5 linked regions of the Danio rerio genome follow. The protein of the gene in region 1 interacts with the protein of each later gene in a pairwise test. Links are inferred from orthologs where the notes say so. Each region holds a gene or a part of one and is shown in the gene's direction. Other genes may lie near its edges.

The links.
Region 2: the proteins of rad54b (region 1) and ribc2 interact in a two-hybrid assay, tested with the Homo sapiens proteins (2 studies listed by BioGRID and IntAct). The two-hybrid records come from large-scale screens. The link is inferred for Danio rerio from reciprocal best matches to the Homo sapiens genes RAD54B and RIBC2.
Region 3: the proteins of rad54b (region 1) and sumo1 interact in a two-hybrid assay, tested with the Homo sapiens proteins (2 studies listed by BioGRID and IntAct). The two-hybrid records come from large-scale screens. The link is inferred for Danio rerio from reciprocal best matches to the Homo sapiens genes RAD54B and SUMO1.
Region 4: the proteins of rad54b (region 1) and atpaf2 interact in a two-hybrid assay, tested with the Homo sapiens proteins (2 studies listed by BioGRID). The two-hybrid records come from large-scale screens. The link is inferred for Danio rerio from reciprocal best matches to the Homo sapiens genes RAD54B and ATPAF2.
Region 5: the proteins of rad54b (region 1) and tceanc interact in a two-hybrid assay, tested with the Homo sapiens proteins (2 studies listed by BioGRID). The two-hybrid records come from large-scale screens. The link is inferred for Danio rerio from reciprocal best matches to the Homo sapiens genes RAD54B and TCEANC.

The regions. Positions count from the first base shown.
Region 1 is NC_133191.1:29,865,117-29,868,637, forward strand, and holds part of rad54b (DNA repair and recombination protein RAD54B), read left to right. Parts: intron 1-1,855; coding exon 1,856-1,987; intron 1,988-3,521. UniProt on the Homo sapiens protein: Involved in DNA repair and mitotic recombination. May play an active role in recombination processes in concert with other members of the RAD52 epistasis group.
Region 2 is NC_133200.1:17,680,250-17,682,894, reverse strand, and holds the end of ribc2 (RIB43A-like with coiled-coils protein 2), read left to right. Parts: intron 1-1,445; coding exon 1,446-1,612; intron 1,613-1,870; coding exon 1,871-1,949; 3' UTR 1,950-2,141; downstream 2,142-2,645. UniProt on the Homo sapiens protein: Microtubule inner protein (MIP) part of the dynein-decorated doublet microtubules (DMTs) in cilia axoneme, which is required for motile cilia beating.
Region 3 is NC_133181.1:10,603,130-10,607,417, forward strand, and holds the start of sumo1 (small ubiquitin-related modifier 1), read left to right. Parts: upstream 1-1,485; 5' UTR 1,486-1,587; coding exon 1,588-1,599; intron 1,600-2,365; coding exon 2,366-2,437; intron 2,438-2,579; coding exon 2,580-2,657; intron 2,658-4,288. UniProt on the Homo sapiens protein: Ubiquitin-like protein that can be covalently attached to proteins as a monomer or a lysine-linked polymer.
Region 4 is NC_133187.1:20,034,772-20,038,748, reverse strand, and holds the start of atpaf2 (ATP synthase mitochondrial F1 complex assembly factor 2), read left to right. Parts: upstream 1-1,161; 5' UTR 1,162-1,405; coding exon 1,406-1,541; intron 1,542-1,621; coding exon 1,622-1,666; intron 1,667-1,777; coding exon 1,778-1,926; intron 1,927-3,867; coding exon 3,868-3,965; intron 3,966-3,977. UniProt on the Homo sapiens protein: Plays a role in the assembly of the F1 component of the mitochondrial ATP synthase (ATPase).
Region 5 is NC_133176.1:39,100,116-39,103,540, forward strand, and holds tceanc (transcription elongation factor A N-terminal and central domain-containing protein), read left to right. Parts: upstream 1-1,287; 5' UTR 1,288-1,532; coding exon 1,533-2,738; 3' UTR 2,739-2,912; downstream 2,913-3,425.

The DNA.
Region 1 (3,521 bases):
TTCTCTGAAGCTATAGAAATTATGCATGTAAAACAGGAAATCCGTTGGGACCATTGTTATTGTTTACATCCCTCAAAATGGTCTATCGGCCCAAGTCTATTCATTGTTTAATTTTGGAGAAGGCCACTCGGAGGCCATCCTCCATGTTCAGTTGTGGCCTGTTTTTATTTTTAATCGATGTGAGTGCTGTAGAGGTTTCAATATACATATTATATAATGTAATCACCCCAGAGGGCACAAAAAAAAATGTGAAAGACTGATGACTATTTATCTGCAAGTTGTTTTTAATGTATATTCTTAACATGTTAACAGTGTTACTATTAATTTTGTTCTTTTGTAGCTTATAGATGAAGTATGGTACTTCTAATAGTTTAATAAAATGAATTAGATTTTTGGAAATCGCCAAGTGACCCCTCCTCTTTGTCCCAACCCCAACTTTGGGAACCACTGCCTTAGATTAACAATTGAGCTTTCAATCACAATTTTAAAGAACTGTTCAAATTTACCATATTTATGTCTATTATTAATGAAGCATGTGTATGTGTCTGTTTTAGGCTTCAGTTCAAAAGAAACTCTCCTGTAGAACAGCCGGGCAGCAGTCTGTCCATCCCAGCGCTGTCCGACTATCCTCCAGTCACAGCTGTTCGAGTGGAGACTGAGGATGTGAAACCGCCTCCGGATATCCACCTGATTACATCCCACGGGTCACCCATCACCATCGCCACCCCGAGCAGCCAAGCCCACCATGGCCAAAATGAAAGGGACAGTGAAGTAGTGGAAGACGAGGTAGACGAGGAGGAAGAGGAATTGGCCTCCCATGTTTATGCTGCCTCTCTTTCTCCATGCCCATCCTCTGTACACCTGCCACCGTCGCCGCTGGCACACGGGCCCAGAAGGAGCGCCTATCACACGGCGAGGACAGCATTCAAGGATCCTGCGTTTGAGGCAGAGGCTTTGCAGATGATGCGAGAGGAGCACGAGTTGCTTCTGGCCAATCATAGGAAGCTTGGTTTATATATAGAGGAGAAGAGGGAGGGGCTTAAGAGAAAGCAGCAGCTGGAGGAGGAGCTACTCCGGTCAAGAGTTAAAGTGGAGAAACTGAGAGCTGCCAGGCTGCGGCAAGGATTGCCATTGATGTGATTTTGTACACTGTCTCACTTTTGAAAGTACGTCAAAAAGGGAGCCATAAAATGTTAATTTAAAATGCTGTTTGTACAGTTGTTTCTTGTTTGTACAGTTTTTTTTTATTCAGTATGAGGATTGTTTGTGATATTTGTAGCAGAATTGTATGTTTTTAATGTGTGGATGAGAGAATTCAATTGGATTTTGTATGTGTTTGATAATAAATTCATAAATGCTTTAATCTCTGTGGTTTGAGATGGGCTTTTATTCTTTGGTTGTTACGTAGCAACAGCAATGAATGAGAGTCTTCTAAATCAAACAGTTTGTGTTAGCTTCATTTGAATGCTTATTCACAGCATAATAGGTAATATTACTACTGTATTTTCCTCTTTTGTTATTAGGTTTGTCAGACTTACAGTAAATAGCTTCTAAGCTGAGACCAACTGTCGGGCAAGACTAAATTAGTCCATTAGGAATTGGATTTGATTACTGTTGGATTTGTTTAATTAATAATTTTGAGGGCACATTAATTTAAAAATTGTATATATGATTAAGTTGTGACCTATGTAACAGTTTTGATCTCATTTAAACATGCCTGATCAGTTTATACAGTATATAGGCACATTTCTAGTTTATGAATATAATAACTGCACAGTAACTAAGCATTATGTTTGATTTAGGCTATTATTATGTTGTGTTATCGCTGCTGATTCATTATCTGTTTATTTTAAAGCTCACTACTATAGTGTTATATGGTGCAAGGCCTCTTCAAGGAAGCATAAGCGCTGGGAAGGTGATGCTGTGCTTGTTGCCAGAGGGCGAACGGTTGTCCTTAAAGACATGGAGGGCCGGGACATTGGACGAGGTTAGATAATCAAAGCACATTCGAGCAGCACATTCAGATTTGTACATAAACACGTATTTAAGGATTAAATGAGTTGACATTGTATACTAGTGTGTGGGATGCAAATTTCCCTGTTTCTTTCATCTAATAATTTTAGTGGATCATTAAAAAAGAAACAGAACTGTTTAATGTAAATATTGGCAAATCCCTGAATATTAGTTTTTCTCACTGAACAATGTTTTGATAGCTAAAGTGCAAAGAATTCATAAAAAGTTTCAATTCCATTTTTATCTGCTGTCATTTTATTGTTTGTGAATTACATTTTGAGTTGTTATACTTTAACCTTACATTTGAGACAATATTCATCAGTCTGTTTAGGGTGCAACAGGGCACAAACATGACTGTTTAGCACGTACTTTAGTAATATATGGATACAGCAGGGGAAAAAAAAACAAAATAGCTTTTTTATTTAACAGTGATTTACTTGGCTCTGTATTTTAATTAACTAAACTGTAATAATTTTTTTATCAGCTAATTTTGTTATTTTTTTATTGTTTAATTTATTATTTATAGGTCATTGTAGTCTCTACAAGACTACAATAAACAAAATCCAAAACTATTGCAGTTTAAATTTAATATGTCATAATCAACATGCAAATAAAACAGTGAATGCAAACATATATTGTGCGTATTGTGCATCAACATATTAATCTATTTTAAATTAGTTGATGAAATATAGCATTCAGTGCTTTTTAAAATCATGACAGTTTTATTTAATCATTAAAGTTCTTTTAAAACAAAAGTAATATGTAGGCTAATTCAGTGCATACATTTACGGAAATGATCTTCTTTACAGTTGATTTTTCTAACAAACCAGCTGCTGACATAGAACGACTTGTCTGTGTTAAAAGTAATACTATATGCCATTATAGGTTTTATTTACGCATCAAAAGAAACCGCATAGGCTAATAGGTTGATCAAGAATTATAAAAATCGTGGTTTCATATTTAGTTTCGGAGTGGTTATAACAGTAGTGTTTTCATCTAGTAGCCATGCATACCGATTCAAAAGACTTTAGCTGGGAAAATAAGCATTGAACACAATTTTACAAAAGAATTGATCATAATTTTTACCCAAAAAAATATTTCTAAACATAGGGTTGACTTGAATTAAATTGTGATGTTGGTAGCGACCAAAGAAATCCATATATGCAAATAAAACAAATCTACTTTTCAAATTACAAATCAAAAAACAAATCTAGTTTACAAATTAAGTTATGCAAAACAAAATAAAATGACGCAGGGAAAAAGTACTGAACACATGAATAAAGGGAGCTGTAGAAATGCAGTGAAAGTCCAGCCAGCAGCTGAAATAACTCAGTATTTTTCAGCAATTTTCTGCCCTTCATCATTGTAAATGAATATTAGCTGCTTCAGTCTAACAACTATATTAGGACAATGAAGATTAAACCAGGATAAACATTTCAGCAAATCAATGATCCAAAGCACAGCCAAGGAAACTCTCAAATGCTTTCAGAAAAACAAAATAAAGCTGG
Region 2 (2,645 bases), on another chromosome or scaffold:
ATTGAAGGGGTAGAGGTAGGGGTTTCCCAATTCTCCTTAGTTTGAGGGTGTCGGGCTAAAGGGAAGAGCTGGAGATTTTAAAGGACCACACTAGAAACCAAGAATACACCAACTACATACAGCTGAAGTCATAATTATTAGCCCCCCTGTTTATTTTTTTTTCCCAATTTCTGTTTAAAGGAGAGATTTTTTTCAACACATTATAAAAAATAATAGTTTTAATAACTCATTTCTAATAACTGATTTATTTTATCTTGCCATGATGACAGTAAATAACATTTGACTAGATATTTTTCAAGATACTTTTATACAACTTAAAGTGACATTTAAAGGCTTAACTAGGTTAATTGGGTTAACTAGGCAGGTTAGGGTAATTAGGCAAGTCATTGTATAACGATGGTTTGTTCTGTTGACTATTGAAAATAATTAAGCTTAAAATGGCTAATAATTTTGTCCTTAAAATGCTGTTTGAAAAATTAATAACTGCTTGTATTTTAGCCGAAATAAAACATATAAGACTTTCTCCAGAAGAAAAAAAAAATATTATCAGACATACTGTGAATTTTTCTTTGCCCTGTTAAACATAATTTGGGAAATATTTAAAAAAAGAAAAAAATTAAAATGGGGAGGGCTAATAATTCTGACTTCAACTGTATATAGAATATAGAATAAGGGCTAAGGCGTAGAATTAGTATTGGGCCTTCCTATGTATACGGGACTCTTATTTTGAAAACTGGATAGGATTTAGGGAAGAGTAAGCAGCTTCATGCATGGCCACGGAGCACATGGAGTGGAATATACAAATTATAATATGTTAAATTATTCCCCAAAGAGGTGTAAAATATGTTTAAATGTATATTTGTTAGTTTAACGTGTATATTGTGAAACTCCTTGCAAATGGTCGAAATGAGGCAACAAACACATGTTGACCACAGAGTATAAATGTTTAAAGCATGTTTATGTCATATCCCTCAGCTCTTCATGAGGGATTCAGTCATTTTTCTGAAGTTAAAAGTGATGCAGATTAAAGGATCTGAAAAATAACCTGTTAATGCAGATGTTGATATTAATTCCTGCCTGTGTTTTTATATATGTTATGTTAAATACATCTCTGTAGGACCCATTTGTGATGTATAATTAAAACTTATCCTATATTTTATCCACAACACAACTCAGGGGAAAACTAGGTTAACTAGCTGTGTAAAAGCTAAAATAAACCTCTCCACCACTTAAGTTGAATATATTGTAACTTAACAAGTAATCTACACATTTTTTTTTAAATATTTTGACTAAAGAAGTATGACTATTTTGCACATGTGTATTACAAAGTACATCACACTTTATGCTGTTCCAAAACTTTTTTTTACTCCATTATCTCCATTATCCATTTTTACTCCAGTAATTCAGATACATTTAAATGTTAAAAGTCGAATAAATCTGTGCAGCGAGCCAACATGGAACAACGACAGAAGGATCTTCAGGAACATCAGGAACGCATGAGCTCAGCTCGTGCTGCATTGCTGCTGGAAAGACAACAAGCACGCATTAATAAGGAGCTGCGCAGAGCAATGGACAATTCCAACTCACAGCTGGCTCATATCCATGATGCTCGGTGGGTTAAATTGATTTTGGTTGACTAATATATATTAAGTAAAAAAATATATATATACAAATAAATATACAAATAAATATACAAATATATATATATATATATATATATATATATATATATATATATATATATATATATATATATATATATATTTTTTTTTTTTTTTTTTCTAGATTTTTAAAAATTACCAAAATACTGTAATTAGTTTTGTGAATGTTATTTCTGTTTATCATTGTGTAACACTGTTTCCATTCACAGGAAGAAACATCTTCAGGATGTGTACACCAACATTCCAGACGAGCGCTATTATTCCCAATTTAACACCAGCAGTAGATAAATGTTTCAGAAGAGATGATGAATCATTTTACTTGCAACACCGTAAAGTGTTCTGGCTGGGCAAGCTTTGGGAGAAACAATTATTATTTGATCACAGTGAAGATAACATTATGTGGACTATTACTGTTGGTTTTTGTGTGTAAAAAAAGTGATATTTCTGTCCTGTTTGAGCAATAAATGAAAATTGAGCAGCAAAAGTTCACAGGTCCTGTTGATAGATTTTATTTAATCCCAGAAGGAGTAATACCCTGCTGAAATTCAGCAAGGGATGTAATATCTGGCAAATAATTGCAAGATATATCCTATATGAAATACACTATATTAATTTACAGTTTATACTACAATTAAGTGCATTTATACTGTGGATATTATAGTATTTACAACATTTTCTAATAAATGCTACAGATAAACTGTATTAAATGCTGCAGCATACCTTATTTTTTACTGCAGTAAATCTGTATAGTAATATAATATTGATAGCTTGAAAAAACCTAACTAATATAGTTGTTGTATTACCATGCTAACTATAGAATTGGCAACAAATAAATTATGTTATTTTGCTATAGTATGGTTGAAAAACACCATAGTGTTTTCTATAAATGACTGTAGAATTTTTTCAGGCTGGTTATCACGCTGTTCTCAGAAAATTAACTTAAGCTGGAGGAGTTTAAGCATAAATGTGTTTTGTTGTTTAAAG
Region 3 (4,288 bases), on another chromosome or scaffold:
AAAGTTTAAGGTCGAGCTCCCGAGACCGAGAGCCTTCCGCTACAAGAAGTCGCTCTCTCCACGAGGCGCACATGGGACAGGACGAGCATGCGCAATACTGCCAGTGAAATGTGCGCATGTGCAGTAGTCTCAGCCTCATTTTCATGCACCATCACCTCGTGTTGATTTTCAGTTTTCGAGTTTTATATTCAAAGTGTGTAGAGACAATATTTTGGATAATGTCATATTCCAAATAATGAGGATGATGATGATGATGATGATGATGATGATGATGATGATGATGATGATGATGATGATGATAATAATAATATACTAAACAAAAGTTTTGTAAAAAAAAAAGATATTTAAATGTTTTAGACAAAAAGATGAATAAACAATTATAATATGAAATATTATTTCAATTTTAAATATCTGTATTGTTGTATGTAAATATGTTTAATATTCCAATGAGAGTTCAGAATTTGTTATGGTCAATTTTACTTGGTGCTCTATGATTAATAATAATTCTGCTTGATATTTCTGTTAAATACACAATACATTCAGCTTTCTAAAATTCTCAGAAGAAACTGTATTTGAAATAAAATGTTCAGTAACATTATACAGATTTTTTATATTACCTTTGATCCACTGAATTAGTCTTAATGTCTTTTTTAAAATCTATGGCATTAAAAGTTATAAATACATAAAATAAACGATTTATTGTTTTATTTATGCAGGAATTTGCGAATTTATTAACTAATTGATTTTTTATTTGCATATTAATTTATTGTTTTATTTATTTATTGCTTTATTTATTTACTTTATTTATTCATTGCTTTTTATTTTTTATCTTTTTAATTTGTGTATTTATTTTGTACATTTGTTTATTTATTTAGCATGTTTATTTATTGTTTTATTTATGCAGGAATTTGTCTATTTATTTATTAATTTATTTGTGTATTTATTTATTTATTGTTTTATTTATGCAAGAATTTGTATTTATTTATTTTTTGTGTATTTATTTATTTATTGTTTTATTTACACAGGGATTTGAGTATTTATTCATTTATTCGTGTAGTTATTTATTAATTATTTTATTTATGTAGGAACTTGTGTATATATTTAGTCATTTATTTATTTATTTATTTGCGTATTTATTTACTGTTTTATTTATGAAGGAATTTGTACATGTGTTAATTAATTTATTTATTTGCGTATTTATTTATTTGTTGCTTTTGCAGGTTTCGTCCTCCAGAGGTGTAGTGTAGTTGTCACATTATTTTTGCACTCTAATATTTCGTGACCAAAATACTGATGTGTTTTTTTTTTTTTTTTTTTTGCAAAATACGGGCCTCCCTATGTTTTACCAATAGCAACATCGCAGATGGCGATTGGAGCCAATCAGAAAGAGCGTGGTGAGAAAAACAACGCTCGTTGGGTCATCGACCCAGTGTCATAGAAAGTCCAGCCCCTTTCCAATGACGTCAACGGCGCTGTGTTGTGGGTCTGCTGGTAGCACTATCAAAACCTCTCATTACTGTACATAACACTGTATCGTTTAAATCAAACAATCTTGATCTACAGAAGGGCTGCACATTGCGGAATATCATGTCAGACACGGTGAGTCTAAACCTGTGATGCTGAATCGAACTTTCATGAGAGCAGACGAGAAAGACGGACTTATAGAAAATGAAAATAAGAGGGCCCAGCTTTTAGCCTGTCTAGCTGACTGTGGTTTGGAAAGTATTTTTGATAAAAATGCTTGAGTGTTTTTAACTGTGCATAGTTTCTGGTTCTCGCAATTTACACATTAGTCCAATTTACTGTGTTCACAAATGCCAAAAATATGTGAATTTCTTCCTCAAATCGTCCAATTAGCATGTGTGCTAGTTAGCTGCTCTGGGCCCTGAAAGCAGAGTTCATAATATCTTGAGCTGATAGACCATGCTGAACATTTGAATTAGTTATTAATTGTTGATTTTTTGATATGTTCATTAGGATTATTCGTTATTTGTTCACGTTAGTTTGTGTTCGGTTTGTGCTCGTATTAACAGCTCGCGATAGAAGAGTAACGTTAGGTTGTGTGTTTACATTCAAAGCACACACACACACACACACAGCCTAGTGTTTAAATGATAACAACACTCACAATATTATTTTATATATAATATATATATATATATATATATATATATATATATATATATATATATATATATATATATATAATTATAATTTATTAAAATCGGATCTACCTTATTTTATACGATCTTCAGTCAATATTTTATTGAATTCAGTCCCAAGATATTTTTTTAATTCATTACATTAAATCTGATAAAAAAACAATATGACATGCAGTAATCGAATGCTTGTTTTGTTTTAATAGGAGACCAAGCCCTCAAGTGATGGAGGCGAGAAGAAGGATGGAGAGTACATTAAACTCAAAGTGATCGGTCAGGTGAGCAAAAGCACTTGTTTTCTAGGAAATGCAGGTTTTCATATTTAAACCCATTACTGTTTAAAACCAATCCAGCTGTTCTTTTATAATGAGATATATGAAAAGATCTGAACAGATTTGATGATTTCCTTTCATTTCGCAGGACAACAGTGAAATTCACTTTAAAGTGAAGATGACGACACATTTAAAGAAGCTGAAGGAATCCTACAGTCAGAGACAGGTGAGTCAGTTTTTCCATTTATGAGGGATAACGATAAATCTACACTACCATTCAGAGGTTTTGGGGGGTGGGTAGGATTTTTAAAAAACGCACTAATGCTACTTTTATTCAATCAAAAATGCATAAAATCTGTATTATTGTGAGTATTGTTACAAATAGAAATACACTAACACTGTAAAAATCTTAACTGTGATCAAATTAATGCGTCATTGCCGAAACAAAAAACAATGTTTAAATAGTTGTGTATGTTTCAGTTAAGGTTCCTGAGGTCTCATTTATAAAACATTGCATAGAAACTTTCCTAAAAGTGAATGTACACCAGAATACATTTTTATTTATTTATTAATTATTATGGCTTTTATGATGATTTAAAGTGCTTGAATTAAGTCAATATTTAAGCGAAATGTGTTTACTTAAAGCTGCGCACATTCTCCCGTCAAGTTTGTTTTTTATAGATCATAATAACCTGTATAAGAAGTGGCGTACACGTGTTTCCACCCCCAATTTTGTGTATACCATGTTTATAAATGAGACCCCTGGACAGTTTATTCTCTCTTTCAGATCAATTATTTGAACCATGTTAGTTAAAACATAAAACGTCTGTAATGATCATCTAAAGGGGGTGGAGTAACAATTTATTAAGAGGAAATTCACATTAATAGATGCTTTTAGTTTTGGTACAGAAAATATTGTTACACACAGGATATATATATATATTTTTACCCATTATGAGTTTTGGTAATAAACATTTAGTTTGCTTGCCTCGGCTTTTCTTTATCTCTGCTTTCTTAAATGAAACGCAACGACACAAGTATTTACTTTCTTTTACAAATATTATTGACAATATTCCATATCATACTCTCTGCTATTATAAATAAAACATAAACCCATTATATAATGACATGCAATCTAATTCTGAAATATATATATATATATATATATATATATATATATATATATGTATATGGTCAAAGATGTAAAAAATATATTTATATTTATCTGTTGCTTATAAAGTTACATGTTTCAGAAATTACATTTTACAAAAGTATATTTTTGTATTTAAATAAATTACTATTACAGTTTTATAAACACTCAAACCACTGCAGAAATGTTGCATATATCATATACACTAAAAAAAAAGACTTTTGCGGCTTGTTCAAAGTACTTATATATAATTAGCTGAAACTTGTGTTCTTGAGGACAACTTAATTGTTTTAAGTTAAGCCCACTTAAATTTATGAAAAAAAATTAAGTTTAATCAATTTATGATGGGCCATGTAAAAGAAATGTGTGGACCATAGCATTTTTACAGTATATTAGAGATCAATTTTCTATACAAGTTAAAATCATTACCTTAAATGTTTGTTTTAACAGTTGCTGGAAGTGTGTAAACAGGTTTTTGATTGTAAATGTAGCTTTCTTCACGAGTCACTGCTGCGTTTAAAATGGCATAAATGTTATGGGAGTGCACTATGGAGATAGCACAGTTGTCAATTTGAAGTTTATAAACTGAACTGTAATAAGAATAACTTTAATATAAAATGTGAACAAGACAACCTTTAATGTTTTTAAATGATTCAGAGTATTTGTGTTCAAATGGACAAGGGCATAGGGTGGATGATTCAGAATAG
Region 4 (3,977 bases), on another chromosome or scaffold:
AGAGGACAATCAAACAAATCAGAAACACAACCAAAAGAGGGCGCTATGCTGTTCCTTAGATCAGTTCTGGTGCATTACCCTACTGCTGCCCCATCAACTCATGTGTGTCCCTGGAGGGTTTTTGTATACTTGAAATTAATGATTTTTATTTTATGTATTATTTTTCTTTTTATTTGATTTATTTATTTCTCTCTCTTTCTCTAGAATATATAAAATAAATTAAATAAGCAGAACAAACTGATAATAAACATGAAGATTTTAAAACAAGATATTATTTAATTCTTTTTGCATTTGTCTTGTACATAGTAGATAAATAATTAGGTAATAACTAAGTGTAATGTAAATGTCTGCTCTATAAATTGTGTAATTTTTTCCATGTTTTAACAAACCAACAAATTAATGAAAGAAAGAAAGAAAAAAACATATAAGATAGAGATAATAAAACTGAAGCAAAAGAAAGGTGAATAAACCAGTTTATAGTAGCAACATATAAATATTCACTAATATATTCATTTAAATATTCCAAAAAATGTATTTAAGAATAACATTTTTAACAAATATTTTAAGTTATTTAAAGCTATGTTAATTTTTAATATTTAGAGCAGGACTTTCCCGCCCAACTTTTAGATGCCACAAACATTTTAATATCATTGCCCCCACATTAAAACATAAACATTTTTGTTAAAAAAAATTAAGGAAGTTACCTGAAGTTAATGTTTTGAAAACTGAAATTTTTTATTATTATATTCTTATTTGTTTTATTTTATTTTGATATATAATTTATTGTTTTATTTTATTTAAATAAAATATAATAATGTATTGTATGCTATTAAATATTTAATAATCGTTTAATTATTATGCTGTTTTATCAATTTGTTTCTGTTTCTCTTTTATTTTGTATTATAATGTGTGCTTATTATTTAAAAACTATATAGAATTATTTTAATCTTTTTAATTATTCAATTGCTATTTTTAATTATTAAAATCAAAATATTTTAATAGGTATATCACTCTCTTTTGTCCCTGGTAACCCATTCTGAAAGTTTGGCGCTAAATGAATGTTCGAAATGTTGGACTTTTCTCATAGATATTTATATAGCTATGGACTTTTATTATGAATTATCCTCTATGCTTTTTCCTGTTTAGGTCATCGTCAGTCCACTTTACGGCACGCTGTTTTCACTTTGCTGCATGCCTTTAAATACCTTCTAGTGTATTTGCTTGAATAATTGAGTTTATCTCAGATATACTCATTTCTTGTAATTTATACGATTAAAACATGAAAAATGCATTGTCAAATTTAATATAACACCATATCCGGCTTTTTAACCTTGACTGAATGGCTTATCACGCCTAAACTGTGGCATCAATACAAATACAAATTTACACACATAACGTTTAAAATATGCTACGAAATATATGTCGGTATCACACAAAGTTTGGCCAGGCAATTATTTGGCCGTTTTCATTTTCTTACGTGAAGCATGTTCCCAGTTTATCAACACAGCTACAAAAGGCAAAATATAGCAGTGCTACAGCAGGTAAGATATAAAAAGAAAAAAATAACTTAAAATGATAAACAAATATATTAATATCTTTGTACTTGCATTGTGTTTTGCAGAGAGGAAAAAGTTCTACGAGACTGTATCTATAACTCAAGGTGAAGGTGAGCATCATTCAGTACTGATGGCCATAACAGCACCTTAAAAGAAACATGTTTTCAATGATGAAGATCGAGGGTTTGCTCATATGAAAACACAGATTTTCTTGTTTATAGGTGGCTTGTTTGAAATAAACCTTGATAAGAGAAAGCTGAAGACCCCAAGTGGAAAACTATTCACAGTTCCCAATGAAGCTCTTGCCATTGCTGTTGCAAATGAGTGGGACGTTCAAAAGGACACATTGAAGTTTTACACTATGCACTTGGTAGGATATTATTTTTAATTTATATTATATTATTATTATTATACTATATTTTGGTTTCCCAAGTACTACTAGTATATTTGAAAGTTTTATTCTACAACTGTCTACAGAGTACATTCAAATGTATCTATAATACATACATAGTAGCATGGAACACATATTTTTATACACTCTTCAGAACTGAAACTTACAGTATTACAAGTCTACAAGACTAGTACCTTTATTTATACCCAAAATCTGTACTTTTTTGGTGTTTTTTCTTTTTAATTTTCTGCTGCAGACGATTCCATTCAAGAACCCCCTAAAAAGTACAGATTTTAGGTATAAATAAAACTGAAAGCTTAGTTTTTTTTTAAATTCTATTTTAATCATTTAAAAATTCTATTCAGTTAAAGGGGTAGTTCAGCCAAAAATTATAATTTGGTCAACAACAATACTCTGGGACTTTCTTTCATCTTTGGAACACAGATTAAGATATTTTAGATGGAATCTGAGAGCTCACTCACCCTTCATATAGACAGCAATGTACTTTTGTGCACACTTAAAGAAAAAATACTTACTTCATTCAGCGGTTTATCACCTCATTAGTAGGCCCACACGGAATATGCGTGTACAGAAATCTGCAGATTTCCGCAGATCTTTAGCCCATCATTCGGTGTATTTACTGTATTCACTTGTTTAATTGTGTGTGAATTTATATTTATTTAGTTTTTTTTTTTTTATTAATTTCACTAATATTATTGTGTTATAATAATAGTACTATTAAAATGTTCATATGATTTATTAACAATACAGTTAGTAATGTAATATTTTCTGTCTTTTTGTAGGTATATGATGTATTGCTTTCTTTACCAAATAGGTGGATGCAATTGGATTTGCACTGTAAACATTAAATAAAATTAAAAAATGTGTTGTTTTTTATTTAATATATTAATGCTGTAGTTATGATACTCCTAAAATCAATCTCTGCAGAAATTGCAAAAAATGTCTGCATATTGTGTCTTTTCCTATTCATTCATCTATGTTTCCATCCACCTATTTTTATGGTAATTTTGCAATATGCGCATAGAAAACCGGTTGATGAAAACGCCAAGATGCACATTTCATTTTGAAAAAGCTTAATGTGACTTTTCATTTTCATAAGGTTCCTTTTACAGCATCGATGTTTTACACTATCGATGCATTGATGACAAAACATTCAGTTAAATAGATACAAGCATTCATTTAGTTGTTCAACCATAAAACAAGATGAAAGATTGTGTAACCGCTAGCGCCATCAGGATCAGCAGGCGAGCGCAGAAACTCCTATACTGGGGTGAAATTAATTGTTATATTTTAAAGATATGACGGGGGAATAGAATTTAACGCAGTGCTTTTTGTCTGAGACTCATATATCTATATCTATCAGGCAGTGAAGGTCACTGATTAAAAAACAAACAAAAAAACTGACCTCAAACATGGCAACTTTATAATGGAAAGACGGAGGCCCTGTTAGGCTGAAATTAAAAGATTGTGTGCATATACCCCATTCTAAATAGTTATCGGTTATTGTTGTCGGTCAAAAATTCCAAATCGGTTCCACCCTATTAATAACATAATTTTCATTTTGGGGTGAACTGACCTTTTATGTAGTTAAAGATATTTGCATTTGCTCCTAGTTTTTTTTATTTATTTATCTATTTTTTATATGTTATTATTTGCATGTGTCTTTTTTCTTCACCTGGTTGTCATTTTAGATGAGAATTGGTTCTCTTAATTGATTTACCTGGTTAAATAAAGATATTTATTATTAAATACTAATGGATAATGTATCTAAAACATTGTCACAAGTACATATAAAATCAGTGTGTGTATATTCTGATAGTACATTCATTCCCAGTATTCCCAACATTCATAATGTTAAATGAATAGCAGAATCTAATAGACTGATTTCTGTCCCTACAGACCACCCTTTGTAACACTGCTCTTGATAATCCAACACAAAGGACAAAAGAACAGATGATCTCTGCCGCTCTGAAGTTTTTAGAAACAGACACTATCTGGTATGCTCACTG
Region 5 (3,425 bases), on another chromosome or scaffold:
TTATTTATTTATTTATTCATTCATTCATTTATTTATTTATTTATGGTGTATTGTTATTATTAATGTGAATGAAAAGATTGTGAATGAAAAGATTGTGAATGCAAATTGATTGTCATCTCAGTCTTTTTGTGTAAATTAAAAAAAAAAAAAGTATTAAAGCTTTTCTGTTATTGTTTAAGCATTGTTAATTAAAAAGAAAAAGAAAAAAGTATCTAGCAAGACAGGACATTCTTATTGAAATATTCCAGACTCTGTACAGAATATATCACTTGGGAGTTAAAGTATAAAGTATGAAATAGTGTGCGAGTTGGCAAAGAAAGCACTAAAGTATACTCTCTAAAATGTTAATGTCCCATTGGGCAAATCTGAAATGTAGGGTTTAATTAAAGTCAGTAAAAAAAAGATGGCGACAGACATGGACTCAGGAAGAAAGGGGAAGACAATTGTATCAAATAATGAGGTAAGTTGGGTATGACAGGTTTGTGACAAAAGAAGGGATGACAATCTCATGCCTCCGAATTGGGCTCACTGCATTAAACCAATCACTGTTTGAAATTGGCAAACACGATACAGGTATGTGGAGTATATGTGGAAATCCAAAATTAGTTGAGCGTGTTATTTTAATTGTCATAGTTATAATGAGGAAAGATCTCAGCTTATGGAGGAAATGAAGAATGCAGGAAGTTTAAATCTAACACTAAAGAAGTAATAAATTGAATAACTAAATAAATAAACGGGCAACTCGGTGGCGCAGCGGGTAGCACAGTCGCCTCCTTGCAAGAAGGTCACTGGTTTGAGTCCCAGTTCGAGTCCGTTGGCATTTCTGTGTGGAGTTTTCATGTATTTCCTGTGTTGGCGTGGGTTTCCTCCGAGTGCTTCAGTTTTGTCCCACAGAAAAAGACATGCACTTGGTGTATAAGCTATGAGGTGTATAGGTGCTGTATTAGCTGTGTAAAACATATATTGGATAAGTTGGCAGTTCATTCTGCTGTGTCAAGCCCAGATGAATAATAGGACTAAGCTGAAGGAAAATTAGTGAATGAATTAATAAATTTAATAACTAAAGATGTTAATTTAATAAAAACTAAAGTATACCTAAAGTATCTTAAAAGACATTGTTACTTAGACAAGTTTAATTTATGTATTTGATTAAATAGCTTACCATTTTCTTTTCCCCCCATTTCTTTGCTTTGGTCTATTTCTGTATTCCTTTCTATATCAACCCCTCACCCTCCTCCCCACTAGGTGGCGGAAATTCAGTAAAGCTGCCAAAGTTTGCAAGAAGAAGAAGAAGAACAACAACAACAACTGCATTGCGTTGATGAAATACATGGCTGTAGAAGTAGCGACTTTGTAAAAAATGTTTTACTGCTTAGTTAATAAAGAAGATACGTGTTTGTCTGCAATTCAGATAACGTTAGCGGACATATTTTTATTACGCTTGAAAACTAAGCTAACGCTTCGGATTCTTCAAGAACAGTATTTTCCAGGTGTAACGCTACTCCTTAATTTTCCTTAATTTCGAAGACGTCATGCATACTAGAGAGATCATATATTATGCTACACAAATCGAAAGGTTGCACGAGGACGGCAGTTATGAAGATGTTATATCATTACTGACTGAACTCGACATCACTTCTGTCACGTTAGAGCAGATTCAGACAACAGATATTGTAAAAGTTCTTTACAGACTGCTTAAGTCCTGTCCTGTTTTGAGTGCTAAAACAAAAGCAAAAAGCTTGCTGACAAAATGGAAGAAGTTGTACAATTTGTCACATGCAATATTACTCAAAAATAATGACAAAAACACACGGGAGGACAAGGAATTAGAGACGCCAAACAGAGAGTCAGAGACGCATAACATGTCTAATGTTGAGTTACCATTGGGATTTCCATTTTTAACCAATGGATTTCAGCCCTTACATGAAAAAGTGAACGAGAGTCAAGCATGTAACACAAAGCAGCTTGATATAACAAAGGATGCAAACCAGGGAAAATGTAATAATGTATGCTTTAATGCATCTTCTAAAAAACTTTGTATAGCAACTGAATCTGCAGAATCTCTCCAGCCACAGCTTGAGCAAGAGAGCCTCACTCCAGCCGTGGAATCAAATAGATCTGATGCAGAGGAAGGTGCTCAAACCTCAGTTCCTCAAAACACAAATCAGCACACAACTAACTGTGACTCTACAGCACTGAGATCCAAATGTGTCCATCTGATTCTTCAGGCTCTTGGCACAAACCAACAAACAGACCCAGGTCATATGAACAAGCTCAAAGCCCTTGCTGAGAACATTGAGTTGCATGTTCATGCTCTTCATGGACGAAACCAGCATAAGTTCAAGTTTCATATTAGGAGCAAGGTTGCCAACCTAAAGAACCCAAACAACCCCCACCTACGCCAAGGCCTTATTTCAGGACAACTGACTCCAGATGCATTTGCCCAGATGTCTGTAGAGGAAATGGCAGGTGAGAAACTTCGACAGCTCAGAGAAACTTACACTAATTTGGCCATCAGTGAGCATCAGTTGCCAGAAACAGTTGAAGGCACCCCTACCAATAAAGTTCGCTGCAGGCAATGTGACAGTATGGATTGCAGGGTGACTCAAATCTCACGAGGGACTCTTTTCTTGCCATCCTGGGTGCAGAGTGGCAGTGCAGATAATGATTCTATGACTTTTATGACCTGTGCTAATTGTGGAGAACAGTGGTACCACAGTAATTGGGTTTGCCTTTGAGCAAGTGCGTAAAGATAGCAACATTGTTCTGTATTATTTGATCTGTACTATTGAAGTTTTTGTTCACAATGATGTTAAGATTGTCAATTATGTAGTCTTCAATTTGGTGCAGTGAACCGTATAATGCGCATTCATGTCTGTTTTGGAAGAGATGAATACACCAAGAATAATAAATATAATCTCTAAAAACTGGTTTTAGATGCATGTAACCATTAAAAAGGTAATTAATGTCTGTTTTAATCTAAGTATCAGTATGGCTAGACACACTTTTTTATGTTGACTTTAGATGTTTTATTTGTCCTCCAAAAACTTATGTAAAGTATATATTTAGATTATTTTCCATAAGTCACTGTTAAGTCTGTAAATATGGAAACGAATAACTATTGAACTGCTGTAAACATACATTTATAATTTATTATTATAATACGTATTTACTGGTTTTTAAACTTTTTTTCTTAAACTCTTCTCACATCAAATTGTTTTGTACATTACACGTCATCTATTTGTTGCAGTTTTTTTTTTTTTTTTTTTTACTAAAACAAGCTTCCCACACTTTTAGAAGGTACTTAAAAACAAACAGGTCCTTAAGGTTTGTGAATTAAATTTTAAATGAAATTCGATTATGCTGTTATTTCCACAATTGTAAAAACAATTGTAAAAAAGAGGTAAATTCTTAATTAGTATCGA